Saccharomyces cerevisiae S288C: one gene and its partners. The protein of the gene in region 1 interacts with the protein of each later gene in a pairwise test. Each region holds a gene or a part of one and is shown in the gene's direction. Other genes may lie near its edges. The genes, in order: FPR4, SPB1, NOC2 and NOP53.

Evidence for each region.
Region 2: the proteins of FPR4 (region 1) and SPB1 interact in binary tests that used the Saccharomyces cerevisiae proteins (3 or more experiments, as listed by UniProt).
Region 3: the proteins of FPR4 (region 1) and NOC2 interact in binary tests that used the Saccharomyces cerevisiae proteins (3 or more experiments, as listed by UniProt).
Region 4: the proteins of FPR4 (region 1) and NOP53 interact in binary tests that used the Saccharomyces cerevisiae proteins (3 or more experiments, as listed by UniProt).

Annotation. Positions count from the first base shown.
Region 1 is NC_001144.5:1,028,155-1,032,517, forward strand, and holds FPR4 (peptidylprolyl isomerase FPR4), read left to right. Parts: upstream 1-2,679; coding exon 2,680-3,858; downstream 3,859-4,363. Other genes in the region: 60S ribosomal protein eL6 RPL6B, read left to right, coding at 700-714, 1,099-1,614. UniProt on the Saccharomyces cerevisiae protein: PPIase that acts as a histone chaperone. Histone proline isomerase that increases the rate of cis-trans isomerization at 'Pro-17' (H3P16), 'Pro-31' (H3P30) and 'Pro-39 (H3P38) on the histone H3 N-terminal tail.
Region 2 is NC_001135.5:29,797-39,014, forward strand, and holds SPB1 (27S pre-rRNA (guanosine2922-2'-O)-methyltransferase), read left to right. Parts: upstream 1-1,652; coding exon 1,653-4,178; downstream 4,179-9,218. Other genes in the region: RDT1 (Rdt1p), read left to right, coding at 1,114-1,200; PBN1 (Pbn1p), read right to left, coding at 4,347-5,597; LRE1 (Lre1p), read left to right, coding at 6,069-7,820; APA1 (bifunctional AP-4-A phosphorylase/ADP sulfurylase), read right to left, coding at 8,040-9,005. UniProt on the Saccharomyces cerevisiae protein: Required for proper assembly of pre-ribosomal particles during the biogenesis of the 60S ribosomal subunit. Specifically methylates the guanosine in position 2922 of the 25S rRNA at the stage of 27S pre-rRNA maturation.
Region 3 is NC_001147.6:725,424-734,342, forward strand, and holds NOC2 (mRNA-binding ribosome synthesis protein NOC2), read left to right. Parts: upstream 1-2,088; coding exon 2,089-4,221; downstream 4,222-8,919. Other genes in the region: GEP3 (Gep3p), read right to left, coding at 141-1,811; DNA-directed RNA polymerase III core subunit RET1, read right to left, coding at 4,585-8,034; tyrosine protein phosphatase PTP2, read left to right, coding at 8,502-8,919. UniProt on the Saccharomyces cerevisiae protein: Involved in the intranuclear transport of ribosomal precursors.
Region 4 is NC_001148.4:272,929-279,277, reverse strand, and holds NOP53 (Nop53p), read left to right. Parts: upstream 1-1,748; coding exon 1,749-3,116; downstream 3,117-6,349. Other genes in the region: oxysterol-binding protein KES1, read left to right, coding at 1-883; ATP-binding cassette long-chain fatty acid transporter PXA1, read right to left, coding at 3,411-6,023. UniProt on the Saccharomyces cerevisiae protein: Late-acting factor in the nuclear maturation of 60S ribosomal subunits, which is required for normal acquisition of export competence. Required for the export of the large subunit.

The DNA of each region.
Region 1 (4,363 bases):
GTTGGGGGATGAAATCACTTTTTCATCTTCCTACAATTCATTTTGTCCTTGAAATACATAATAACAAAATATTAATGAAACTTGCATGTTACCAAATAACTTGAACTTCAGCACTTCTATTTGTATACCAGTATCACAGCATTCAGCAAATTTGATTATCTCTCATGCTTCATGTCCTACCTTTTTTCCTTCTTTCTTCCTTGTCTTAATCTGAAAGTTACTAATAATAATAAAGACAAAATATCACCCATGCACCAAAATGTATGGGTCATAATTTTTTTTCTTGCCTTCAAAAATCGTTGTTAGCTGCAAAATGGCGGTGAAACACATAGTTGTGGTTATGCGTCCCCTCCGGGCGGCCGCAGATGGAGGATGCCCCCATGTGCTGATTCTCCCCGTAGGCGGCGAGTAATATCCTCGCCTAACCTGGACTTGCCGTGCTAAGTCGGCCTTCTAGGCTGCGCTTCCGTTCAGCATCGTTTACGGTAGAGGGAGCACATGGGCGGAAACAAACCTCATTCTGGTCCTGTGCTTGCCCATTTGCACTGTATAGAGTGTGTGAGTTTCAATTAATGTTGTAGGCGCGAGGCCCTGTAATATGGCAGTTGATCAAAAGTCAATAGATAATTTTCAAGCAAAATCTCATTTAGGTTTGACTACTTTCTTGAACTTGGAAGAGAAGCAAATATATTCAACGAAATGACTGCCCAACAAGTATGTGTAAAGATGAGTAAATTGAAGGATGTGATGGTTATGGAGATGGCACACGTGCCTAGAGGAAAATAGTTACCCAAGAACAAAAGCAGGAAGGGAGCTAACCTTTTAAATATGAACTGGACAAAACTGGACAAAATGAAAATAACGATTTTAGTAAAAATGAAAATATAGCATCAAATGACTGAGAAACATAGTAACAATAACTCATATTATAGCTAATCTGAGTAAACTTCTTCCTACGCTAAGAATTTTTTTGAGGATAGTACCAAACCTTGTGCTGAATCAGCACACGCCATGCCCACCATCAATTGTGCAAGAAAAAAGTAAACGAGTAGTATACTAACTATATATGTGATTTACATCACGATATGTCAATTATAGGCCCCAAAGTGGTATCCTTCCGAAGACGTTGCTGCCCCAAAGAAAACCAGAAAGGCTGTTCGCCCACAAAAGTTGCGTGCCTCTCTAGTTCCAGGCACTGTTTTGATCTTGCTAGCTGGCCGTTTCAGAGGTAAGAGAGTTGTCTACTTGAAACATCTAGAAGACAACACTCTATTGGTCACTGGTCCATTCAAGGTCAATGGTGTTCCATTGAGAAGAGTCAACGCTCGTTATGTCATTGCTACCTCTACCAAAGTCTCCGTGGAAGGTGTCAACGTTGAAAAATTCAACGTTGAATACTTTGCCAAGGAAAAATTGACCAAGAAGGAAAAGAAGGAAGCTAACTTGTTCCCAGAACAACAAACTAAGGAAATCAAGACTGAACGTGTTGAAGATCAAAAGGTTGTTGACAAGGCTTTGTTGGCTGAAATCAAGAAGACCCCATTGTTGAAGCAATATTTGTCCGCTTCTTTCTCTTTGAAGAACGGTGACAAGCCACACCTATTGAAATTCTAAATTGAACTGAAAAAATTATAAATGATTTAAAATAGAATTTCAAAACAAGGAGAATTGATAGAGAATGCGTTGATCTGAAAATACTGTTTGACAATAACGGAAAGGTAAGTGGATATGTAATCTAAGTTTAATCCTCTTCTAATTCATTTTTCCTATCAACATTATCTGTGCTTTTCTATATCCTTCTTTTTGTATCTATAATTTTTTTTTTCTCTTACATAGCAAAATACAAAAAATCATAAATATTAATATCTAAGGGTTCAAGATCAGGTCATCGCCGTTCTGGGCCACTAGGCTATATCTATTCATTTACATTGGAAGCTGCATGGTCTACTCCAACCGCACTGAGGCAAAGTCTCTGTGGAGGAAATGCTGTCCTAGCGAGCCATTGCAATAGGTATAATCAGAGTCGTCCTCCCAATGTGTTAACTTCTCTCAAAACCACCATATAAATTCTGTAACCTGCCAGCGATAATGTTATATATGTAAAAGGTAAACATACAACCCAATTTGTCCATACTAAGTGGATGCTGGGGAAGCAACTACAGTGCAGATGCTAAAGTTTGCTGCGGCAAATAATCTCAACATTTTTGTGATTAAACCTGCCTCAGTGGGGTGTATGATTAGTGCGTTGATATTTAATACACGCGTAAAAGTTAAGTCTGTTGTACGTTTTATTTCGAGTGACGAAAGAACTACGAATAACTTCCTGCATACTGTTGCCTTTTTCTGTATTTACGTATACTTTTATATCAAATAGCTTGGCCAAAAGAAAGTAGCATTGTGTATCAAGTCATAATTCTAATTCTTAGTTTAACTTCAGCAAAAATAATATTCTTCGTCAGACATTCTCATACAATCATTAACCCATATGAACGTTAAATTTCTCAATTTCTTGCCTTCGATGCCCTATGTATATTTTTATCTCAAACCCGAGGCAGTGAAAATTTTAGCTGGTGCATCGAAAAGAGAAGGGCATTGAAAATTTTACAGTGTTAAAAGAAGTGCTTTTCATGTTAGAATGATAAGAAAAAAGAAAAAGACAACAAAATATACGTCTCTACCATGTCTGATATGCTTCCATTGGCTACGTATAGCCTGAATGTTGAACCATACTCCCCAACCCCAGCTCTGAACTTCAAAATTCCGGTTACCATTAGAATCACAATGGCGGCCATCGACCCTGAGCCCTTTGACGATGACAAAAAGCCATCTACTTTAAGAATAATCAAAAGGAATCCTGAACTCACTCGCGGTGAGTACTACAACCAAGATAACAATGACGGCCTCGAAGAGGATGAAAGTGAAAGTGAACAAGAAGCAGATGTACCAAAAAGGAGTGTCAAATCAAAAAAAGGTAAGGCAGTCGAGCAAAGTGAATCAGAAGACTCTGAAGATGAAAACGAAATCGACGATGAATTCGAAGAATGCGTTCTTTTAACCTTATCTCCAAAAGGCCAATATCAACAAGCTTTGGATATTACCATTGCACCAGAGGAAGACGTTCAATTCGTCGTTACCGGTTCATACACTATCTCTCTAACCGGTAACTACGTCAAACATCCATTCGACAATTCTTCAGATTCAGACGAAGATGAAGAAGACTATTACAGTGACGAAGAATCTTCCAATGGAGAAGAAGAAGAAGAAGAAGAAGAAGAGGACGATGAGGAACTAAGTTCCGGTGATGACGATCTTGATGATTTAGTAGATGCTAGTGACATCGAAAGTCGTCTTGATGAATTAGTCAAAAAGGACGAAAAGAAGAAAAACAACAAGAAGGACAGTAAAAGGAAACATGAGGAAGATGAGGAAGAAAGTGCTAAACCTGCCGAGAAAAAACAAACGACCAAGAAAGACAAGAAAGCAGAGAAAGTTAAAGACTCGGAAGAGAGCAAACCAAAGCCAAAGACGAAGCTACTGGAAGGCGGTATTATCATTGAAGACCGCGTCACAGGAAAAGGCCCACATGCCAAAAAGGGTACCAGAGTTGGAATGAGATATGTTGGTAAGTTGAAGAACGGGAAAGTTTTTGACAAGAATACAAAGGGTAAGCCTTTTGTTTTTAAGTTGGGCCAAGGCGAAGTAATTAAAGGATGGGACATCGGTGTTGCTGGTATGGCGGTCGGTGGTGAGCGTAGAATTGTCATTCCTGCTCCATATGCCTACGGTAAACAAGCTTTGCCCGGTATTCCTGCTAACTCTGAATTGACATTTGATGTTAAATTGGTCTCCATGAAATAGGGTCCTTAATGCATACGTATTGATATATGTATCTATAATACTATATACAATTATCTATACTTCCATTACTAATATTATCTTTCAATTTTACATGTTTTTTTCTGCCATAAAAAAGCAATATTTTTTTGCGAGCTATTTAGTGATATAGCCGCCCAGCTACTTGTCGATGCATATATTGGCTGAGAGTACTAATACAATTATCGGAAGACCTCAAAGTAAAATATAGAAGCTTTGAGTAAAAGGAGCTCGAGTTTTAAAAATGACTTCGTAATATGTAAAGTTTATGTCATATATACTTACACGATAAATAGACCATTGATCGTTAGAGACGAGCGCATTGTTTTGTTGAATCCCTTTCAACAGCGCGACAAAAGTTAATCGAGAACAATAAGATGTTGCATTCAAGGGTTAGTCAAACATATCAGAAGGCCGTTTTCTAAATCACCTCAAGAACCTACCACACAGATACATCTTGAAGAGGTGGAGTACCAAAGGGAATATTTTG
Region 2 (9,218 bases), on another chromosome or scaffold:
GTTGTACTTCGGTAGATGTTATATTCTAAAGAGTTAAATTATCCAATTCCAAATTCTAGGGACGGTTTCCAAAGATTTGTATTGTCCAGTGACATAATTTTCACTAAAACATTGATCTGTTTAATAGGTTTGCTATAAATGCACAATAATTTTTCACCCATGATACCCAATTTCAAGAGAAGCAATTGCTACATATAATTATTTAGGCTTTACTATCTACTACTCATTGACTGTGCCCTTTTACACAATTATAACAAATATGTCAAAGCAGATGCCATGAACTTTGTATCTGAATTTTTGATTTCCTTTTAATTCTAATTGCAGACGACGTAAATATAGTTCTGAATTTCAAAGTCACTGTTAATTAATTGTTCTAATTGTTTGGTTTTTTTAATATAAATCACTAGTGCTTAAGTTCTGTTGACGCACACAGTACCTATCTTTGATTCCTTCGTGCAAACAGTATTCCGGCACGTTAATTGATACCAAAAAGATTTCAAAATCAGATGCTTCAAGACTAATTGTATACTTTATGTGACTTCTGGAGTTTAATTTGTTGTATTGATGAGATAATATTGTCTATTATATTGCCAATAACAACCAGCGCCAGGTGTACTAAGTCGAGATGACAGAAAATTTATAATAAGTGTAAATACAATAAATTTTGTAAATAAATAACTACTTCAATAGAAATCTCAAAGTCGAAGAAACACAGAACACAGAATGAAACTGGACTAAATGATTTTCAATAAAGGAAAAGCACGAAAAATTTTTTGAACTTTTTTGGGACAGCGTGGATCGTGTAATTACTGTATTGGGAAATTTACACGATTCTCGACAAATAAAGAAAAAGGCGCGTTTAAAGACTTACAAGCACACCTTTGAATTATTTTTGTTCTCTATGATTATCAAATGTGCTAGTGTTTGCAAGATGGTGCTTTTTTTTCTTTAGATTGCCACGTTTCTGCTCCTCTTTGTGGTTTTCTTTTTTTTTTTCAATCTTACTTATAAAATGAATATTTCAATTGATGAATAGCTATATATTGGATACAAAAATTAGCATTTAATCGAAAACTGCAGCATGTATTTAATCGAAAACTACAGCATGTAGCTATGATACGACAGAAGATTTTTGTTTTTATAGTTAAGTCAAGAAGAAATTCTATTTGTCCAGCAATCCGGCGCAAAGAAGACTACTAAAGGGTATTGAAAAATTTCTAGAACCAGAAATAATCGAAAGCATTACTTTTTTTGGCTCTATAAAGGAGTTCTGGACAGCTTGAACTTCCGAAGTCTGTCTGTTTAGCTCGTTAAGATAAATCTCAAAAGAGTAGCAAGCAGGTGGGAGGGATAATTTGGATTAAAGTGTATATATTGCGTATATATAGCCACGTAAACCTCACACTATTGAGTTTAAACATTTTTCACCTTACGTTATTATTCTTTTGTCTAATTTTAATCTCCTCCAGTATACTAAAACCGCAAAAGCGGGTTACCCAGCTTGTTTCTTTTTGTCTGAAAAATTTTTTGCGATGCCCATTATGAAAAATTGGCAATAATAGTATAGTAGTTAGTTTAAGTTTAGATTCTTTCAATACTCATTCTGCTTCAGTTTGTAGTTAGATTTAACTCAATAGAGGTGATTGGCAAAAATGGGTAAGACACAAAAGAAGAATAGTAAGGGACGTTTAGATAGATACTATTATCTAGCAAAGGAGAAAGGTTATCGTGCTCGTTCATCCTTTAAGATTATTCAGATTAATGAAAAGTATGGCCACTTCTTAGAAAAATCGAAGGTTGTTATTGATCTGTGTGCTGCTCCTGGTTCATGGTGTCAAGTTGCATCCAAACTCTGTCCTGTCAACTCCTTAATTATTGGTGTTGATATTGTTCCAATGAAGCCGATGCCCAATGTTATAACTTTTCAAAGTGATATTACAACAGAAGATTGTAGATCAAAATTGAGGGGTTATATGAAGACTTGGAAAGCTGATACAGTGTTGCATGATGGTGCTCCTAATGTTGGTTTGGGTTGGGTTCAGGATGCTTTCACCCAATCTCAATTAACCTTACAAGCTTTGAAGTTGGCCGTCGAAAATTTGGTGGTGAACGGTACTTTTGTTACTAAAATTTTCAGATCCAAGGATTATAATAAATTGATTTGGGTTTTCCAACAATTGTTTGAGAAAGTTGAAGCCACAAAACCACCCGCATCAAGAAATGTTTCTGCAGAAATTTTTGTAGTGTGTAAAGGTTTCAAGGCACCAAAGAGGCTGGACCCAAGATTACTGGATCCAAAAGAAGTTTTTGAAGAATTGCCAGATGGGCAACAGAATATGGAGTCCAAGATTTATAATCCCGAAAAAAAAGTTAGAAAAAGACAAGGTTATGAGGAAGGTGATAATTTACTGTATCATGAAACCTCAATTTTGGATTTTGTCAGGACGGAAGACCCAATAAGCATGCTTGGAGAAATGAATAAGTTTACAATTGATGAGAATGACCATGAATGGAAGATCTTGAAGAAATTGAAACAAACCACAGACGAGTTCCGTTCCTGTATTGAAGATTTAAAAGTCTTGGGTAAAAAGGATTTTAAAATGATCCTAAGATGGAGAAAGATTGCAAGGGAAATCTTGGGCATCGAAGTTAAGGACGACGCTAAAACAGAAATTGAAGTAGTACCGTTAACAGAAGAGGAGCAAATTGAAAAAGATTTGCAAGGTTTACAGGAGAAGCAGCGTCTAAATGTCAAGCGCGAAAGAAGAAGGAAGAACGAAATGAAGCAAAAGGAACTACAGAGAATGCAAATGAACATGATAACCCCCACTGATATTGGTATTGAAGCCGCAAGTTTGGGTAAAGAATCGTTGTTTAATTTGAAAACTGCAGAAAAGACTGGTATCTTGAACGACTTGGCGAAGGGTAAGAAAAGAATGATTTTTACAGACGATGAATTAGCCAAAGATAATGATATTTACATTGATGAAAACATCATGATCAAAGATAAGGATTCTGCCGCTGATGCGGACGATTTAGAAAGCGAGTTGAATGCCATGTATAGTGATTATAAAACTAGAAGGTCGGAAAGGGATGCCAAGTTTAGAGCTAAGCAAGCACGTGGTGGCGATAATGAGGAAGAATGGACCGGTTTTAATGAGGGAAGTCTAGAAAAGAAAGAAGAGGAAGGTAAAGATTATATCGAAGACAATGACGATGAAGGTGTCGAAGGAGACTCCGATGATGATGAAGCCATCACCAATTTGATTAGCAAATTGAAGGGACAAGAAGGTGATCACAAATTGAGTAGTAAGGCACGTATGATTTTCAATGATCCGATATTTAATAACGTTGAACCTGATTTGCCAGTAAATACCGTCAATGATGGCATAATGAGTTCCGAGTCTGTTGGTGATATTTCTAAATTAAATAAGAAAAGAAAACATGAAGAAATGCACCAGAAACAAGATGAAGCAGATTCTTCGGATGAGAGTTCAAGTGATGACTCCGATTTCGAAATTGTGGCCAACGATAATGCATCAGAAGAATTCGATTCTGATTATGATTCAGAGGAAGAAAAAAATCAAACAAAGAAAGAAAAGCATTCCAGAGACATTGATATTGCTACTGTTGAAGCCATGACTTTGGCACATCAGTTAGCATTGGGTCAGAAAAACAAGCATGATCTTGTTGATGAAGGTTTCAATAGATACACCTTCCGTGACACCGAAAATTTGCCAGATTGGTTTTTAGAAGATGAAAAGGAACATTCAAAGATAAATAAGCCGATTACTAAGGAGGCAGCGATGGCAATTAAAGAAAAAATAAAGGCAATGAACGCCCGTCCTATTAAGAAGGTTGCTGAAGCTAAGGCAAGAAAGAGGATGCGTGCCGTAGCTCGGTTAGAAAAGATCAAGAAGAAGGCGGGCTTGATTAACGATGATTCAGACAAGACAGAGAAGGACAAGGCTGAAGAAATTTCTAGATTGATGCGTAAGGTTACCAAAAAACCAAAGACCAAGCCAAAGGTTACTTTGGTTGTTGCCTCAGGTAGGAACAAAGGTTTGGCAGGTAGACCAAAGGGCGTTAAGGGTAAGTATAAGATGGTTGATGGTGTCATGAAGAATGAACAAAGAGCCCTAAGACGTATCGCAAAGAAGCATCACAAGAAAAAGTAGTAACAAAGAGCATTATTTTTCCATTCCCTTGTATAATATTGAAAATAAAGGAAAAGAAAGCAATAGATATATTATGTATACATAGAATTAATCAAATTATCATCAAAAAACTTATAGGAAACCTATCGTTTTGAATTCAGAAAATACGAGTGCACAGTAGAACAATTTTTATTCCCGTTTTACTGATCTTTTCTTCTTGTTGTTACCAAATACCTTGGAGAAAATGTATATGATGGAGATGAGTAAGCATAGTAACGTACCATTTTTGATCTTGGAATAATCCTTTGTGTCAGGCCTTGGAATTGGTACTAGAAGAGTTGTCGAGTTCAAATGGCGGAATGTAGTATCGTCTGTAAAGAGAGATTCATATCCTAGACCTTTTTTATAAAATGGATTACGGGAAACTTTATTGTCACCTGTGTCGCAGGCTAATATAACTTCTGGATCAAATGAAACTTCTAATTTATCCCCTTTATTATTAGAAGGCTCAATATATCTAGTATGCAATGTCACTTCATTCATTGTGCCGGCTTTCAATTCAAAGATACTTTCAGAACCCCATGCCTTATCTCGAAGAGAGTATTCTGGTAATTCTAAGTCGTCTTCTCCAAAAAGTAGTAAGGGAGAGGATTGGAATTTATCGATAAATAATTCTAACGGCAATTGCAGGTGCATTAGATACATGCATTTAGGGCGTTCTTCGAAATCTGTGAGATCAATCATGATTTTTGGATGCAAACCGATAGGTTCATTCAGATATAGTGATGTCGTAGTCGTCGAGTGATTGTATGCGATATGGCCCTGTTTATACAATAAGGATGTTTTCTGACATCTTTCCATTTTACCATCGTCCATCCTCCAATTACAACGTATTCCACCAATATCGACATCACTTTCATCACTTGCATCCACAAAGAATACACCTACTTCGAGTTTCTCATCTTTCACTCTTGCAATTGTAAATTCTTCACCCTGTTTCAACAGACGATATTCAACAATTTGGATTTGTGTGGGCTCCACTGATATATCATATGTAAAATCTTCTGGATTCCATGACAGATTCAAATCTACTTCGGGAGGCAAGTACTGCTCTATGTCAAACTTCTCACTGTGAAATGAATTGTAGACTGGGTTAGTAATAAACCTTTCCGGCACATCCGAAGAATTTGAGTAAACTGAAAAGCCAGCACTCAGTTCATTTTCTATAACGCTTAAACTTCTAGCCAAGTCCGCTCTGGGCCTCCAAGTGATTCTCGTAAAGGATTTATCCAAGCTTCCAGTCCTCTCTAATAGCCACCTTTGTTGTAAAACCACACCAGAACCTCCACGAACAGTCAAATGAGTGTCATTTTGGCGCATATGATTACCGATATCCTCAGGGGCATTGTAGAGTACAGTCACTCTATGTCTTGTCACCATTACTCAGCTAGAAACGCACACTTCTTGCGTTTATTCTCCTCCCGATTTGATTATGATTAGCGTTTCCATTATTTGATCTTTTTTATCAGGGGGATCTTCAAAGAAAGGAACTTTTTTTAGGAAAAAAAAAATAATCATCTTTTATTACATGTGTAATACTTCAAGCAATCATAAACAAGAGTTAAGAAGGCAAAGTTCTGCTGTTAGTGTGTCCTCCAATACTCTTGCACGACAAAGTTTTAGTTATCCCCTTCTACGTGTATTGTTCCTCCGTGGTCGATTGTGTTCAAAGATTGGGAGCTCTTTTCGTGTTTTGCACTAAGAGCATACTGTTAATCCGCAAAGGCCACTAAAACTTACCTGCATTTGTCTACTTAAAGATACATTCCAACTATTTACATTCATTTTTATTTCTAAAAGAGCATTCTGAACCCTCGGCAATTATTTCATACTCCTTCTCAGAATAGGAAAATGCCCAATACGCATACTCAACATGTGCAAATATCAGAGCCAAATCCTGTAAATACTTTGTCTACACCATCCAAAAGAGGTCACCGCCATCGCAGATCGCTAGCAATATCAGGAGATTTTGATTTTTTGAAACAGCCTGCAGCAATTGTGAATTTACCACCTCCACAGGCGGCTGAAAATTGTCCTTCAACTGCCCCAACTGCTGTATCAAGTACATTATCGCCAATACGCTACAATAGATTTCCTTGCAAAACCAATGAAGACGCTGGAACGTTAGATTTGCCTGAACCAAGATTTTATCCGTTATCACCAAAGAACAATCTGCAAACACCAAGTCCACGATTTTTCATTAGTGAAGAGCCAAGTTTTTCATCGCCAGTTAAAGGCGTCCCAGATGCCATTATTAACCTTGACGATGCGTTGAAGACAAGGCCTAGGTCATTTAAATCACATAGAAGATCTGAATCCGCTCCTCCTGATTTGGAGGTTATGGTAGATAAGGGCAATTGTGCAGCCGGTTCTAACTCTATGATTAAAGAAGAAGAGGACTCCTTAATTGAACCAGAATCGAAAAATGAATATTATGAGCAAAAGCTTCCAACAGCACTATTATCCCCACTGCGGCCTTCCCTTTGTGTATCTGAACAGGCCATTGATGTAGATGATTCAGCTCTCAATGGGTCACCGACCCATCACAACCATGGGATGCAAAACGCCAATGCACGGAATTCCAACACATTCAATTCGTTGAAGATCAAAGGCCAAAAGCAAAGATATTATCATTATACGAAGCAGCTACCTTTGACCGTAGGCTGTGACTCGCAATCTCCAAAAGAACAAAGGTCGGCTGCTTCAATGACAATCAATCAGGCAATGACACCTTCTTCCCTGGCCTATACCCCTTCTAAACTAGCATCTACTCCCGCAACACCAGTATCCTTTTATGACAGCAATGCGGACATTAACTTAGAAAGTGATAATTTTCCACTAAAAGATAACCCTAGATATGCCAAGGATGGTTATCCTAAAAAGTGCGGCAATTCACAGCTTAATCGTGTGCTGGATAGCGATAAAAGACAGGATTTTAGTGGAGAATCGAGAAGAAGAAGATCGGGCAGTCCTATCTCCCACATGCAACACCGCAACCTGATTGATAATATGAAAGGTAGACGAAACAGTAACACGATAAACTCAATCTTCAACTACAAGAGTCAACATTATGAAATGCCATATGATGATATGATGAAAAATGAAAACATTAATGCACAGTCCATGCCCTTTTCAGTCAACGGTGTCAACAATGAAAATAGTATCGGAGGGGTTATTACGAGAGCGGACGATGCACCCCTTCAACACTCTGTGGTCAAATCCTGTACGCCTGATGGCAAGGAAGAAATGAATAGGCTTAAAAGTAATGACAGTAATGAATATTCCAAGTCTGAAGGGCAGATCAGAACCAATTCGCAACTAAGTAAGGACATTCTCATGGGTGAACCAGGTGATATGGTTGATCTGTCCTCTTTTGTCAACGCGCAGAGAAAAGCCTCAAATGAAACTGGTGACTTAGTCTTTAGTTTATCCCAGGATGATGACGCACTGAAAACGTTCCATGCGAGCAACAGCGCAGCAACAAGCAATGAAAGCTGGTGTATTAGCGATGATGCGTTAGGAAAGCAGGCGCAGGACAGTGAAGTTAGGAGGAAAAGAAAATCCAAATTAGGACTCTTTAGACATATTTTTTCAAGGAAGTAATACAACAATATTAATAATAAGTAATAAAAAGGTGAATCGTAACCTTAACGGCATTGATTGCATGTAGTTTTAATAATAAAGTGTAGAATAATAAATATAAAATTTCAAAGTCATCAGAAATAAAAATTGAATAGACATATACATATAGAAATTACTTCTATCATTTAAATACATATATATACATACATGTATACGTGTATACTTGTACTTGTGAAGGACTCAATAGTTGTATTCGTTTGGTTTTTGACCAGAAGTGTTTGGGAAACCACATTCCAATAAGATATCGTTAATCAATTCAGGTTTTTCAGTAATCTTGGAGAAAACTTCATCATTTTTGGTTAAGATCATACCACAATAACCTGTGGAGTTGAAACCTATCTTCATTTCATCAGAAAAGGCCTTCGAGCGTGGAACGACACAGATCCATTCCTTGGTTAACATAAGATTGTAGGATTTCTTTAGTTCTGGATTTTCGTTCAACCAGTCCTGGAAAAAGGTCAAAGCTCTTTGCAATATGGAGATGTAACACATAGCTAATAGGTCTTCATCAACAGTTTCTTCAGACTCCGGCATTGGCAAGACAAAATGAGCGAACGAGACTTTAGCATCTTGCAAAGGTTCAGTATTGAAAGTTGGTAGGAAATGTTCTTTACCATTACATAGTCTATCTTGGAAAGTGACGAACTTTTCAGGCATTTGCAGAATTTGCAAATGTTTGTGGTCCAATGAAGAACCACTGGCTGGACCAGAATTGTAAAAGACCATGTGTCTCTTGTCGGATTCTTCATTGTCCAAGGCACACAGCAACTTATAAGCAGTCAATAAATCGGTTGGGGTCAAGGCATCAGTTTGATGTTGGTATTCGTTAGTTACCAATAAAGTGTGTTCAGGGATTACAGGGAATTTGTTTAATAGCAATTTATACGCTTTGTTATCGGCACCACCAAATTCTGGGATAACCGTTAATTCTTCCTCAGGTTTGCCTAGTGGATCCTCTCCTTCTGGAGTTTGGCCACGCTCTGGCTTTTCGATCAGACTTGGCATGTGACTAATCAAGTATGGCATGCTGGTTTTTGGGTCCTTTGTTTTCGTTGTTTCAGTCTGGATAAATTTTAAGTTACCATTATCGAAGGCACTTTTGTACTTGTCACTAATTAAAGATGCAATGTCAGCGGGGATACTCATTTTTATTTTAATTTTTACTTTTCTGTTTGTTCTAAAATCTATCTAAACTGGCTTTCAAGATCAATCTATTGTCTTTTAAGGTAAACTTTAAATTGGAAATAATAGTAATGTTAGTTCCTTCATTTTAACCTTGTATTGTATTTCCTTTGCGTGATGAAAAAAAAACTGAAAAAGAGAAAAATAAGAAAATCTTCTAGAACGTTCCGAAACAGG
Region 3 (8,919 bases), on another chromosome or scaffold:
ATTCATAATACTTTCTATTGCTTATTTCCTGTATATTCGTTTTTGAATATACTTTGTTCCCAACTTTCTTTTTAGTTTACTTACATTCATATTTACATGTGCGTTACTACTTATTGGTGCAACCAAGTGAACAGCGAGTCTTACCATTGGTAGTACCAATAGGGATTCTTTTTTTTTTCTAGGTGTTGAACCAAATCATAAGGATCATCGTCGACAAATCTTCTAGCAGATAAATCTTTCTCGGTTTTTTCTAAATACGACTTCTTCACTGCGTTCAAAGTATCAGCTTCATCCGGGGCCATCTCATACAGGGAACTGATGATCGGTCTATCTCTGGGACAGCTTGACTCTTTACCATTTGTTTCAATGTAACGCTGGTAGCCAGACTCAATCAAGTTTTCTAGCGGTTCCCTTATACCTACTTGGATACCCCTAGGTATCCATATCTCATGTAGTCCTTTGAACTCATACCTCCCAGTTGTCCTTAATAAAATATATCCTATATCTTTCAGAACGATCTCTATACTTCCAATAAATGGAGGTATTGCGTACCTTTTGTACTGGCTTTTTTCGCATATAACGCTTTTAATTCCACAATACCGTGATAACGGATGTGTGCCAGATGATGAATTGCACGAGTTGAATACATCAATACCTTTTTCAATGTTCTTGAATGTTTTTGATGGTCCTGGTATGTATTTCACAATCTGATTTATGGATCCTTTCGGAGGTACCAGGTAGAAAATCCCTCCCACGGTATAACAGCCTCCCTGTGATGTGCCCTTCATAGACTCATAAGTCTTCTGTTTTATATGCTTCCGATTGAATAAATCGGTTTTTCGCAGCCTTTGAAGCCAACGCTCGTCGATTAGTTCTTCTAGGCGTAATCTGGAGGTGGAAGTTGAATAGCCTGGAAGATCAAAAAGTATTTTACCTCCAACTTGGTAGGCTTGTACGGATCTAGTTAAATTGGGAATATGTGATACACCAGCAGCTTGAATCTTGAAAAAATTCTTCGGGTTCGTAAAAGCTTCTTGCATCACTTCTTCAGAGGGGGAGTTAATTTTCCCAGTAGAATCAATTTTAACCTTATATCCAAGATATTTCTGTAGTAGAGTATTGATCAAAGTTGATTTACCAACATTAGGGTTGCCTAGCAAATATGTGTAGTTTTTAAAGTAGTTGTAAAACATGGATATGTTCCAGTTTTTCAGCGCAGATATGGCGAATGTTTTATTTGAGTCAATTCTTAAAGTGTTCTTTAAAAATTGCTTCATGAATATAGGAACCTTTTTGCTGACAGCATTTTTATCTTTAAAAACTTGATCGCTTTTCGTTAACACTAATGTAGTATCTAAATCATTTCGTTTCAAAACATTGGGGTCTAAATGTAAGGGAAATTCTACAAAGGGGACAATATGCATAACATTTGAGCCTCTGGGGACGTAGTTCAGAATATCATTTAATGTGCTTTCGGGAAACTCTTCCGGGTTATAATTGTTATGATGAAGGGCATTACTGCACCTTTTGCAAATCACTCTCAATAGTAAATCTCTTTTGGTTTTGAGGTCAGGATCATTTTGAGTTGCCTGTTTCGAGAGCTGTATGTCTTGACTGAATAGCAAATACTTCAGATCTTGGAGGTCAGGATTTAGTTTTGAGTCGGGTAGACTTTTTGGCTTCGTATAATATCCTGGTTTACTAGGATCCTGATCCTGTAGTTTTATGGAACATGACGCACATTTCACTTTCACAATCACAGAACAGGAAAACTGACGTACGCCTCGAAGAGCATGACACAGATTCAACATTCCCGCATATTGAATTGTTCAAAGTAATTAGACGTGTTACTAGGAAGGTCCTTCGTTAATATTGCTCTGTTAAATGTATCTTGACCCATAACATCAAATAGTAGTTATCATCTTCGACGAGTTTTGAAAAATTTTCTGAATTTTTTCTTCCGATGAGATGAGCATGATATTTACAGAGAAAATAGAGAAACAGAATACTTGTACATGGGTAAATTCATTTATACTAATTTTTGAATTGTAAGAGAGATAGAGAAGGTCAACAATAGAATAAGTGGAGATGGGTAAAGTTTCTAAATCGACCAAGAAGTTTCAATCGAAGCATTTGAAGCATACTCTAGACCAAAGAAGAAAGGAAAAGATCCAAAAGAAGAGAATCCAAGGCCGTCGTGGCAACAAAACTGATCAGGAAAAGGCCGATGCTGCTGGTACTAGGGAACAACAGCAGTTGAAAAAATCTGCAAAGGAAGAGGTTTTTAAGGACATGTCTGTCGAAACTTTTTTTGAAAAGGGCATCGAAATTCCAAAAGAGAATAAAAAATTGAAGAAAAAAACTACGAAAGAGCAATCTGATGAAGATTCCTCCTCTTCCGAAGAGGAGGAAGACATGGGACAAAGCATGGCAAAGTTGGCCGAAAAGGATCCCGAATTTTATAAGTATTTGGAGGAAAATGATAAAGATTTATTGGACTTCGCAGGTACCAATCCATTGGATGGAATTGATAGTCAAGATGAAGGTGAAGATGCTGAAAGAAACAGTAATATTGAAGAAAAATCTGAACAAATGGAGCTGGAAAAGGAAAAAATTGAGCTTTCTTTGAAATTGGTTAGGAAATGGAAAAAACAACTTCATGATTCTCCAAGCTTAAAATTACTAAGGAACATAATCAGTGCTTTCAAGGTTGCTGTAAATTTGAACAAGGAAGAAAACATCGAAGACTATAAATATGCTATCACTGATGAGAAAGCATTCCACGAATTGATGTTCATGGTCTTGAAAGATGTACCACAAGCGATTCAAAAGATGGCCCCATACAAGATTGTAAAAGGCGCAAGGACCTTACCAAATGGAGGTAACGTCTCCAGGGTCTCGTCCATTGTCAAGTCGCATGCTGGCTCTTTGTTGATTTTATTGAATGATATTACTAATACGGAAACAGCAGCATTAGTTCTTCATTCTGTCAACGAATTGATGCCTTATCTTTTATCATACAGAAGGATCTTAAAGGAGCTTATTAAATCAATTGTTGGAGTATGGTCTACAACGAGAGAATTAGAAACCCAGATTGCTTCTTTTGCCTTTTTGATCAATACCACCAAAGAGTTCAAGAAGTCTATGCTAGAAACAACCTTAAAAACAACGTACTCCACTTTTATCAAAAGTTGTCGTAAAACGAATATGCGTTCTATGCCACTGATTAATTTTCAAAAAAATTCGGCAGCTGAATTGTTCGGTATCGATGAAGTTCTAGGTTACCAAGTTGGATTTGAGTATATTAGGCAATTGGCAATTCATTTAAGAAATACAATGAACGCGACAACTAAAAAATCCAGTAAAATTAATTCCGCAGAAGCTTACAAGATTGTATACAACTGGCAATTCTGTCACTCCTTGGATTTCTGGTCTCGTGTACTATCGTTTGCTTGTCAACCAGAAAAGGAAAATGGCAGTGAATCTCCTTTACGACAATTAATTTACCCATTGGTTCAGGTTACTTTGGGTGTAATCAGATTAATCCCAACACCACAATTCTTCCCATTAAGATTTTATTTGATTAAATCACTTATTAGACTTTCTCAAAATAGTGGTGTTTTTATTCCAATATATCCTTTACTTTCTGAAATTTTAACCTCAACGGCTTTCACTAAGGCACCCAAAAAGAGCCCTAACTTGGCTGCTTTCGATTTTGAGCACAACATCAAATGTACGCAAGCTTATCTGAATACAAAAATATACCAAGAGGGTTTGTCAGAACAGTTTGTGGACTTATTGGGCGATTATTTTGCTCTGTACTGTAAAAACATTGCATTTCCTGAACTTGTAACACCGGTTATTATCTCTTTACGCCGTTACATCAAGACTTCAACTAATGTCAAACTTAACAAACGTTTATCAACTGTTGTAGAAAAATTGAACCAAAACAGCACATTCATCCAAGAAAAGAGATCAGATGTTGAATTTGGGCCAACAAACAAATCTGAAGTTTCAAGATTTTTGAATGATGTAGCTTGGAATAAAACACCTTTAGGTTCTTATGTTGCAGTACAACGTGAAGTTAAGGAAGAAAAGGCCAGATTAATGAGAGAAAGTATGGAAGAACAAGACAAAGAAAGAGAAACAGAAGAAGCAAAATTATTAAACAGTCTGGAAAGTGATGATGACAACGAAGATGTTGAAATGTCAGACGCTTAACAACTCAGCAAGATTTGATTTTTTGTCTTGAATTCAATAGTTAAGTCTATAAATGTGTAAAATAAAGAAAAGTCTTTTTTAAAGCGTATATATCATTGTGCTCACATGTGCTAACATGTGAGCACTCCAAGCTTTCTCTTGTCAGCTGGATATTTTTATATTTTGGCCGGTTTATGGATAGAAAACACGTCAAACGTTCGATGGATCTTATAAAAAGTAATGATGTAAAGCAAGGTACAAAAATGAAAGAAGTACGGTTTACTGTTATATAATTTTCGAAATCGTTCAACTCTCTTAAAGTTCCTCACGAAATAGATATGATTGCTAACATAACGCAAAATTTAGTACAAGATATATGATTTCTTACTGCTGGAAGATATCTTCCAATCTTAATCTTGGGGCTATGTTCATGGATAATAATTCCTGGAATAACAGTTTTGCTGCATATGGAATAGTCATCTTAATAATATTCTCAGCACTTTTGCAGGTAGTACACCAACCACTATAGCCCATTAATCCACATTTATCGCAGACATCAACTTCAAAAGCATCTGAACTAATCATCAACCTTTCTAACAGCAATTGTGAAGCACCATACGCGATTACACAATCCCTCTCCATCTCACCCAACCTCAGACCACCATCTCTAGATCTACCCTCAGTTGGTTGACGTGTCAAAACAGCCCTTGGACCACGAGCTCTTGCATGCATCTTATCTAAGACCATATGCTTTAACTTTTGATAGTAAATGGGGCCAAAAAAGATGTAAGCCTGTAAACACTCACCTGTTATACCTGAATATAACATATCCTTACCGGAATAGTTGAAACCTTGGTCTACCAAAATCTTAGACATATCTTCAAGTTTAGAACCACCAAAACAAGTACCATATTCCAATGTACCATTCAATACACCAGCTTTACCCGATATCAGTTCGATCATTTTACCCACAGTCATACGAGATGGAAAACCGTGAGGGTTCATGATAATGTCTGGAACTATACCTTGATCGTTGAAGGGCATGTCTTCTTGCTTTACAATAATACCACAAACACCTTTTTGACCATGTCTAGAAGAAAATTTGTCACCTAATTCTGGCCTTCTGTTTTGTCTTAGCAAAACTTTGATTAAAGCTTGATCGTTATCCGAAACAGACATCATAACTTGGTCAATGTGAGAAGGTTCTGGACCTCTATATATTACCGGAGCTTCCCTATATTGAGTTTGGACGTTTACGTTGTTTGGGTTTGGGGCGTCTGCTGAGTTAGTTGGAACTGACTTATTTATATAAATTTGTCCACTTTGGACCTTCATACCCACCTCACCTAGACCATCAGGACCAAGAGATTGATGTTGCCAGATAGGATCTCCATTTTCATCAACTCTCATACCACCGATGATATCTTGGGTATGGTTCGCATATCTTTTCAAAACAGTGGTTGTCTTTCTACGTGTTTCGCAACGGCCGAAACCTCTATCGATGGATGACTTATTCAAAACCAAAGCATCTTCAATATCATAACCAGAATAGGACATGACAGCAACCGTAGCATTTTGACCAGCAGGTAATTTATCATAATCGATCAATTCAATTGTTTTGGTTTTCACCATTGGCTGTTGTGGATAAGTCATCAAGTATAATAATGTATCTATTCTCTTGAATTGATTGTAGGCGATTGCACCAATCGCTTGCTTACCCATCGCACATTGATATGTGTTACGAGGGGATTGGTTATGATGTGGATATGGAATTAAACCAGCAACAGCACCTAAAATTGTGAATGGCTCGATTTCTAAATGTGTCATCGAGGGAACTATATCTTTTTCATACAATGCAATGTAAGAATCGTTTTCTTCATTGACATCTAAATATTCCACCAATCCGAGTTTCAAAAAATCATCGAAATCTAACTCACCATCTAATAATTTGCGTAAATGAATATCTTTCACGCGAGATTGACCATCAGAAACAATGATTAATGGCCTACAAATTCTACCACCATCTGTTGCAATATGAACTGCCATTTGGTGAGAATTTGAATAAATTGAGATAAACTCCGACACTTTACCTGTTCTTCTCAGATGTCTGAACTGAGTAACGAATTTTGTTGGGAATCTGATTGAACCAATTAAAGTACCATTCAAATAAACACCATAGTTTAAATGCAAGGATGCACTGTCAATCAATGTTATGTCTTCTACACCAAGAACATAACATAATTTCTTTATAGGTTCCTCTTCGTCATCTGTAGTAATATGAGTCATTAATGCTAAATTTTTCACTAGACCACACGCCTCACCTTCTGGAGTATCTGCAGTACAAAGCATACCAAATTGAGAAGGTTGTAATGCTCTTGGACCGGAAACTTTTCTTGATTTTTCAAACTGAGAAGAAATTCTTGTCATCATACCCAATGCGGAAATATAAGATAGTCTGGAAAGAACATGTGTAACACCCGCTCTTTCCATCTTAAATCTTTTAAGAGACCAATTACCGGTTGAGATAGCTCTGTTCAGTCCGCTGGTGATGTTATTTGAATGGACGTTAATTGACAATAATGCATCGTATTCCATAGCCCTATTTGGTTTTTTCAAGACCTTATCAATGCTTAGTTTAAAATCATTATTAAACTTTTTGAACAAATCTTCGAACAATAAAGAAATCAATTGGCCTGCTAATTCAAGACGTTTATTACCAACATAATCTCTATCATCAATCATCTTAGGGTTATACATTGCCATCACCACCCTGCGCGTCATCATGGCAATATATAAAGCCTTTTCTCTAAAGTCAAGGGCTTCCACAGTCAAATGTGCAATAACCGTGGTAGCAATGGCCTCTATACCCTCTTGCAGGATAGTCAGTTTTTGCCTTCTCATTGTCTTTACTTTTGCACCAATATACTCTAAAGCTTGCTGTTGTGTGTAAATATCTAATTTCGAAGATTCTTCCAAATTGACTGCAAAAATATCTTGGTAGCTACTATCATTACCGCAAACCAATTGCATAATTTCTAAATCTGATAAAATACCACAGGCTTTGAGAACAATAGCAATAGGAATTTCTTCAGCGATGGAATTGTGCTTCAAATAGATCTTGCCATTTTTGGTAATGACATAAGTCTTAGATTTTCTTTCATGGGTAGATGAAGTAACGGAGGCCTGAACAATGCCTTTCTTCTCATCTGCCTCCACAATAATACGATTCTTGGATAATTGTTCTTGAACAAGAATTACTTTTTCGGTACCGTTAACAATAAAGTAACCACCAGGATCCAACGGACACTCGTTTAATTTAGCCATTTTCGATTCATCAGCATCATATAGGATACATTTATTAGATCTCAGCATGATCGGCATCCTACCAATTTCCACGTCTTTATGCATAATAATGTTTCTACCTCTAGTGTATTCTATATCCACGTAGATTGGTGCAGAGTATGTCATATCTCTAAGCCTACACTCATGAGGCGGAGTCAAATAATCTTTTGTCGAAGAAGAGGACTTCTTACCCACTCTAATATCGACGTACTTCAGGTAGAATTCTGGATCAACATCACTCAAAATTAATTGATTTGCCTTTATAATTTTTTTTAAATCTGTATCAACGAAGTAGTTAAATGAGTCAAGATGTTGCTTCACCAAACCTTTAACCTTCAAGAATGCTGGTAAAAGGTGCCACTTATCCTGAGCAGTATTGATTTCATCAGTTAGTTTCTTACCTTTATATACTGGTTTCAATAAATCATCAAAAGCCTCGTCTTTCACATGCTTATGTATATGAGTTTTCCGTCTTTTTGTCGCAGCAACCATTTTTCAACAAGCACTAAGTCCCTAGCGATTAAAACGCTCAATTATCAACACTTTAAACTCCCTTTAATTCTTTCCTAACTTGTCCATATATCATCACTTAAGCATAGATCGAAAAATTTTCAGCTCATCTCACAATTACAATTTCGTCCGACGTGATCTGGAAAATACGCGCCTGCTTTATGGAACTATTTATATCTTTATGTGTAGTACACCTAACAATAAGGAATATATAAAAATAATGCACCTATTAAAACCTTTGGGAAGTGCCAACTTTGAATCATCATCTTTCTTTGAACACCGCGCTGCGACCTTTGACAAGAAAGACGAGATCACTCAACCTGACAGACCCGATTCCCCTGGTTCCCCTCTTCCGCTTTGCACAGCCCTTTTCGCTTAGTTTGGAAGCCTAGGTCCGATCCCCAGTGCTATTAATAGTTTACAATAAAATAGGATCGACGTTGCTATTGATGGATCGCATAGCACAGCAATATCGTAATGGCAAAAGAGACAATAACGGCAATAGAATGGCTTCTTCCGCTATATCGGAAAAGGGCCACATACAAGTCAATCAAACTAGAACACCTGGTCAAATGCCCGTCTATAGAGGTGAAACTATAAATCTGTCTAACCTTCCCCAAAATCAAATTAAACCGTGCAAAGATTTGGACGACGTTAACATACGGCGGAACAACTCTAATAGGCATTCTAAAATACTTTTACTAGATCTGTGCGCTGGCCCCAATACCAACTCATTTTTAGGCAATACCAATGCTAAGGATATCACAGTTTTATCGTTGCCGCTACCCAGCACTTTGGTGAAAAGGTCGAACTACCCGTTCGAGAACTTACTAAAGAATTACCTTGGATCTGATGAAAAGTATATTG
Region 4 (6,349 bases), on another chromosome or scaffold:
TTCTCACCATCCACCCGTCACTGCTTTTTCCATCTTCAATGATAAGAACAAGGTTAAGCTGCAAGGCTACAACCAAATTAAAGCCAGTTTCACTAAATCCTTAATGCTGACTGTTAAACAATTTGGTCACACTATGTTGGATATTAAGGATGAGAGTTATTTGGTTACCCCACCTCCATTGCATATTGAAGGTATTCTTGTCGCTTCTCCCTTTGTTGAATTGGAAGGAAAATCATATATCCAATCTTCGACAGGTCTACTTTGTGTTATTGAATTTTCAGGTAGAGGCTACTTTTCTGGTAAAAAGAATTCATTCAAGGCAAGAATTTACAAAGACTCTAAAGATAGCAAGGACAAGGAAAAGGCATTATACACAATATCAGGCCAATGGTCTGGCTCTTCTAAAATAATCAAGGCAAATAAGAAAGAAGAATCACGATTATTTTACGATGCTGCTAGAATCCCTGCTGAACATCTGAATGTCAAGCCTTTGGAGGAGCAACACCCACTGGAAAGTAGAAAAGCCTGGTACGACGTGGCTGGTGCCATCAAATTAGGCGATTTTAACTTAATTGCCAAAACGAAAACTGAATTGGAAGAAACGCAAAGAGAATTGAGAAAAGAGGAAGAAGCTAAAGGCATTAGCTGGCAAAGAAGATGGTTCAAAGATTTTGACTACTCTGTCACGCCCGAAGAAGGCGCCCTTGTACCTGAAAAGGATGACACTTTCTTAAAACTCGCCTCTGCTCTAAATTTATCAACGAAGAATGCTCCAAGTGGTACTTTGGTGGGTGACAAAGAAGACAGGAAGGAGGATCTTTCATCCATTCATTGGAGATTCCAAAGAGAGTTGTGGGACGAAGAAAAGGAAATTGTTTTGTAAGGAGAACGATAAAGTAACAACTTGTTACCGTTGCACTAATATATTATCTATCTTTTCTTCTTTTTCCTTCCTTTTTCTCTTCATGTGACAGGAAAGGATATGAAATCATTAGAGGAACTAAGAAATCATTTTTACCATCCCCTAAATCTTATATTGTTTTGTTCTCTTTTCACTATAATGACTAGAATTTATTCTTTCGAACCACAAGAATATGCTATATTGCTGTTAAAGATGAAGCAGAAAAAACCTTTATCTATTTCTACTTCTTCCTTTAATTATTGATAGACAGATCGCTCATTTTTTTCTCATGATGTCATATCCTTTTTAATCATCATACGAAGGTTAAAATTTGAAGTTTACCAAGTTTTCATGCAAGTTTTGTTATTATTTACAACCTATTACTATATTTTATCTTCTCTGTTGATATCCTCACTTTTGTCTTTTTTATAACTCTCTAATTTTCTTATGTCAATTTTGTAGAACCACATAATCGATGGAGTATATGCACTTATACAACACTTTCTATACAAAGTTTATGGTATATCCCAAAATCTGTACGCTTATCGAACCATAGGCCTGTTTTATCACTCCATAACAATGAAACACAAGAGGCTAACGCCAAGTACTAAAGTAATATTATCATAATATTGCGTATTACCTAACAGGTGTGCTCTGAGAGAATACAGTCATATTTGACGAAATTCTATAATTCCATCAAAAAATTTTCCGTGCCCGAGCTTTTTCACTTCTAAAAAAGAAAAGAGCAATAAAAATGCGATGGGGTCCTTACATTACAACTTATGCTATTAGTTCGGCTTTCTTGTGATCCATACCATCCTCACGTTAATGAATCATTTATTTAAAAATGGCTCCAACTAATCTAACCAAGAAACCATCTCAATACAAACAGTCTTCAAGAAAGGGTAAGAAAGCATGGAGAAAAAATATCGATTTATCTGACGTAGAACAATATATGGAAAAGAAAATTGATCATGAAATTACGCATGGTACCAGTGATATAACCTCTTTGCAAAATGATGCTCTTTTTCATGTTGATGTTGAGGGTGATGAGATATTGAAAAATAAATTAATTAAAAGGAAACAAATTAAGAAGGTTCTAAAAAGTAAAGAGATTTTAGACGCCGTTAAAACGAATTCAAAAATTGCAGCACTAAATCACCATAAGAATAGTAGTGGAAATCCTAATAAGATTCAAGGTGTTTCTAAACACGAATTAAAGAAATTAATGGCTTTGGCTGGCAGAGTACACGGCGAATCGAAGATCAAGAATAGAGTTGCCAAAGACGGTCTAGTTAAAACAACGGCTGGCGACTTATGGGGTGAAGAATCCAATTCAAAGAAACAGAAGGTCAAATTACCTTCCGGTATCAAACTTGATGTGGAAAAAAAGGACCAGATACCTGAAGAACTATTGAAAAAATCCACGACAAGTTGGTCTACTGCTTCAGTCAGACCAAGTACTTTAGATATAGAGCCAATTGCAGTAAAAGAATTCACAGAAATTCCACATGCTGGTAAATCCTACAATCCCAACAATAAAGCTTGGTCAGAATTGATAAACAAAGAGTATAAAGAGGAAAAGGCAAGAGAAGATGAAAGAATCGCCTTGGAAAAGTACAAAGAAAGAATTAGACATTTAATGGAAACTTTAGATGACAATGAAGAGGAAGAGTCTTCATCAAACGAAGAAGAAGAAGAAGAAGAAGAAGAAAATGAAAATGAAAATGAAAGTACGCAATGTAGTGGATCTGATAAGGAAATAAAACTATCAATAAATAAGCCTGTGAAGAATAAAAAGAAAACAAAATATCAAAGAAACAAGGCAAAGAGACATGAAGAGAAAGTAAAATTGCAACAAGAGTTGAAAGAATTGAGACAACGTGTTAAAGATTTAGAAGAAGTTATCAATTCTGAAGAGACTGAGATACTTTCAGCCATAGAGTCAGATAGCAACAAGGTTAAAAAAAGCAAGAAAAATAAGAAACACAAGTTAGGGACGAAATACTCTGTGATTGATGAAAGATTGGAGATTAAATTTTCTGACGAATTATCTGACTCATTGAGAAAACTGAAACCTGAAGGAAATCTGCTATATGATACTGTGAGAAAACTACAAAGTTCTGGTAAGGTCGAAACAAGAGTGCCCGTTAGGAAAGGTAGAAAGTATAAGCAGAAAATCACTGAAAAGTGGACACATAAGGACTTCAAATAGAGTTTTTTGTTTTACAGTATATGTTTCCATGAAAAGGTTGTCCTTGATACGTGGATTCATCAAGTGAGATATATATATATATGTTCATATTTGTGTTGGCAAGACCAACAACTGTATAGTAGGTAACAAATTGTTTCATTTTCTTTTCGTTCTCTGCCCTTTTCTAGTTTGAGAGGGCATTCCCATGTCGATATCTCTAGATATCAGTTAAACATTCAAAAGTACAAATTCAGTTACGGAAATAATATATAAATTATATTCGCTAAATAAAATCTCTCCCTTTCTAGGGTGTTTTCAAATAATTTCAAGCTTTTCCCGTAGCTTCGTCCTCTCATCTTCCCAACCTTTTACTCTTTCTAGTTTTCTCTCCAATTCCTCAATCTCGTTGTCAATCGACGTGATTGCTTCATCGGTACCAACTGCCTGTAATTGCCATTTGCCATCTCGATTTTCACCGATCTCTAGTAACATTTCATGATATTTGATTAATGTGGGTCTTTGTGATATGGAAATGAAATTGAATCTGTATCGTTTTAAAAGATTGAACAGATAGTCTTCCATGTCAACACTAATTGCGTTTGTAGCCTCATCTAATACTACGTATAGTGGTTTATGAAACATGATTCTAGCAAAATTTACTCTTTGCTTTTCACCACCACTTAATAAGTCCTTCCAATCGGCAATGGCATCTAGGTAAGTTAAGCCAACGCCTCTTTTTAAAAGATAATCTAGTTTCACTTCGACTAATATCTGTACTAGCTCCTTATCTCTAAACCCCCTATCAAAGAATTCATCCGAGGACATGGGGTATATAATTTGGTCTCTTAAAGTTCCACCTCTACTAAAATATGGTTTCTGAGGAATAAAAAAAATATTATTTTCTGAAGGAATCGACAATAATCCATTTTTGTTATACACTGGCCATATTTCAGCTATAATGCGTTGAATTGAACTTTTACCGCAACCATTTGGCCCTAATATTAACAGGCTGGAGCCAGAACCCTGCAAAAATGGTAACTTTATATCATTTGCCTTCGATAAGTCTTGTATAGAATTGGACTTTGAAGTTATTGGGTCAATATGCAAAGGAATTTGAAATGTAAGCTTGTTAATCAGCTTTATGCCTTCGCTCGCCCTTACTGATGGAATGATTACGTCTATATTTTCTAACCGAATACCGTTAAAATTGCGTTGAATAGTACCACGAATAGCATCTTGCGAATTATCCGTGGTGGGTAATAAGTTGGAATTTCTGGAAGCGTCTTCTGTACGTATTGACAGGATTGAAGGAACAGCGCCGTAATTAAAGTTCAGAGAGTGAACCCTGTGTAAGACGGAAAGCAGAGTAAATATCCTATTAGTGTAGCCGGTCAATTGTGAGATGTCCTTTATCGAATGCATCAATCTCGAGCCTGCATCTGCAAGCGACAACATCAACCTTTTGTTGACTATAAATTCCTTCATATTTTTTTCCTCTGAATTGATGCCTGTCGCTAAGGTAGACATAACGATAGGGATTGAGGCAAAAACATAACCCAAACCGGACCATGTATATTTTAAAACATAGTCTTCCAACATATTGTAACCAAACTTGACTTTATCAACCAGCAGCATTTTTTCCATCAGCACATCATACAACTCTTTAACTTTCGTCCTTTCCACTGCTGTTCCTTGGTAAAATGCGATCTCTTCGCTATTATTTATCATGTTTAGATGATAATTGTAGTAATCGCCGTCTGAAGCAGATCTCTCGCCTGCCAATTTACCTAATGGTGGCGTGTATTTCCTCAAAATAAACCCAGTAATGAAATAATTAACAAATATACCTGCTACTCCCACAGTTCCCAAATTATCACGTAAATAAACCGAAAAGAATATTAAATCAATAACTGGCTTTGCAATGTTTGCAAAAACGGAGCATGTCGCATCGCAAAATTTTGCAACATCATTAGTAATGGAGTTGTCGATATTCTTGATTACCGAATTGGACGCCTTTGCATCAAAAATTAATTTGTAAAATGTTAGTCTTTTATCCAAATACATGTCATGGATGTAACGTGTCAAATTTACCCTAAAGTTTAAACTCAACTTCCTTTGAAGTAGCTTAATAGCACTATTAGTATAAGAAGCAGGGACAGCAATTAAAAACCAACACCCTAAGTCCCACAGAAAGCTTCTTCCTCTACCAGCAATTATATTTTTGACTATTTGTCCATCCAGCTTGGCTACAAACAAAGAGAGCCAAGTTCTCATCACCAGGAAAAAAATTTGAGCAGTTAAAAGAAGAAAGTTTTTGTCAAAAACTGTTGGAATTAAAATTTTAGACAAGACGTTCATTTGGTTTAAAAATTTTGAGTAGAATAACTGCGAATTCTTGGCTCTTTCCAGTTCTACATTTTTAAAAAGAAACTTATCGTGTTCATATACATCGTTATCCTTTGGTGGAATAAATATCCTTTTCCTTTTTTTTTTATCTGTAGCATTCATAAATTTGTTGTCATCGGGACTCTGGCGGTCGACTAATTCCACTTCAGGAATATACATTATTCTTGCACCACTGTCTAATTGCATTTGAGATCTTGTTCTTCTTATTAAAGGTCTCCTATTCCTTCTCTTCCATGGAAACTTGTAAAATTTATAACATTTTAGAATAATTTTGAAAGTACTATATGTTACACCAGAAAAAAGTGTGACACCAGATAGGAAAAGCGATACCAATAAAATCTGGGCCCTTCTTCTTAGCTTAGGATGAGCAGCGTTTGATCTAGATATCTGTAGAAGATGCCGTATCAATAACTTGAAATATACTTTAGGTGTGACATCGTTAACGTGTAGCCCAATACAGTGAGTATGTAGATTCAGGAGCAAACTCTTTAGTTTCGCTGGTGCTGCTAATGTTGTTGACATTTCTGTGTTATGCGTTCTAAGACTTCCAGATTGTCTGAAACGGGTTTCATTGTTAGTCTCACTTCTTAGAGAAGCATTCTTATATATCTTGACTCTAAAAGGGCTGAAAATAACCGCCGAAATTAAAAATTGGGGTAAAAAAGGGTAACGAAACTTATGCGGTTAAGCCCGATCAACATATAGCTGAATATTGCGTCAAGAATAATTTCTTAATCGGGATTATTTCCGAAGGAAGAAATTCTATTGAAAAAAAAATCTTAACATCAAAACTGCTTATATACATTCCACAGGTTCAAGCGGTCATAAGAGATCTGACTTTTGATAGA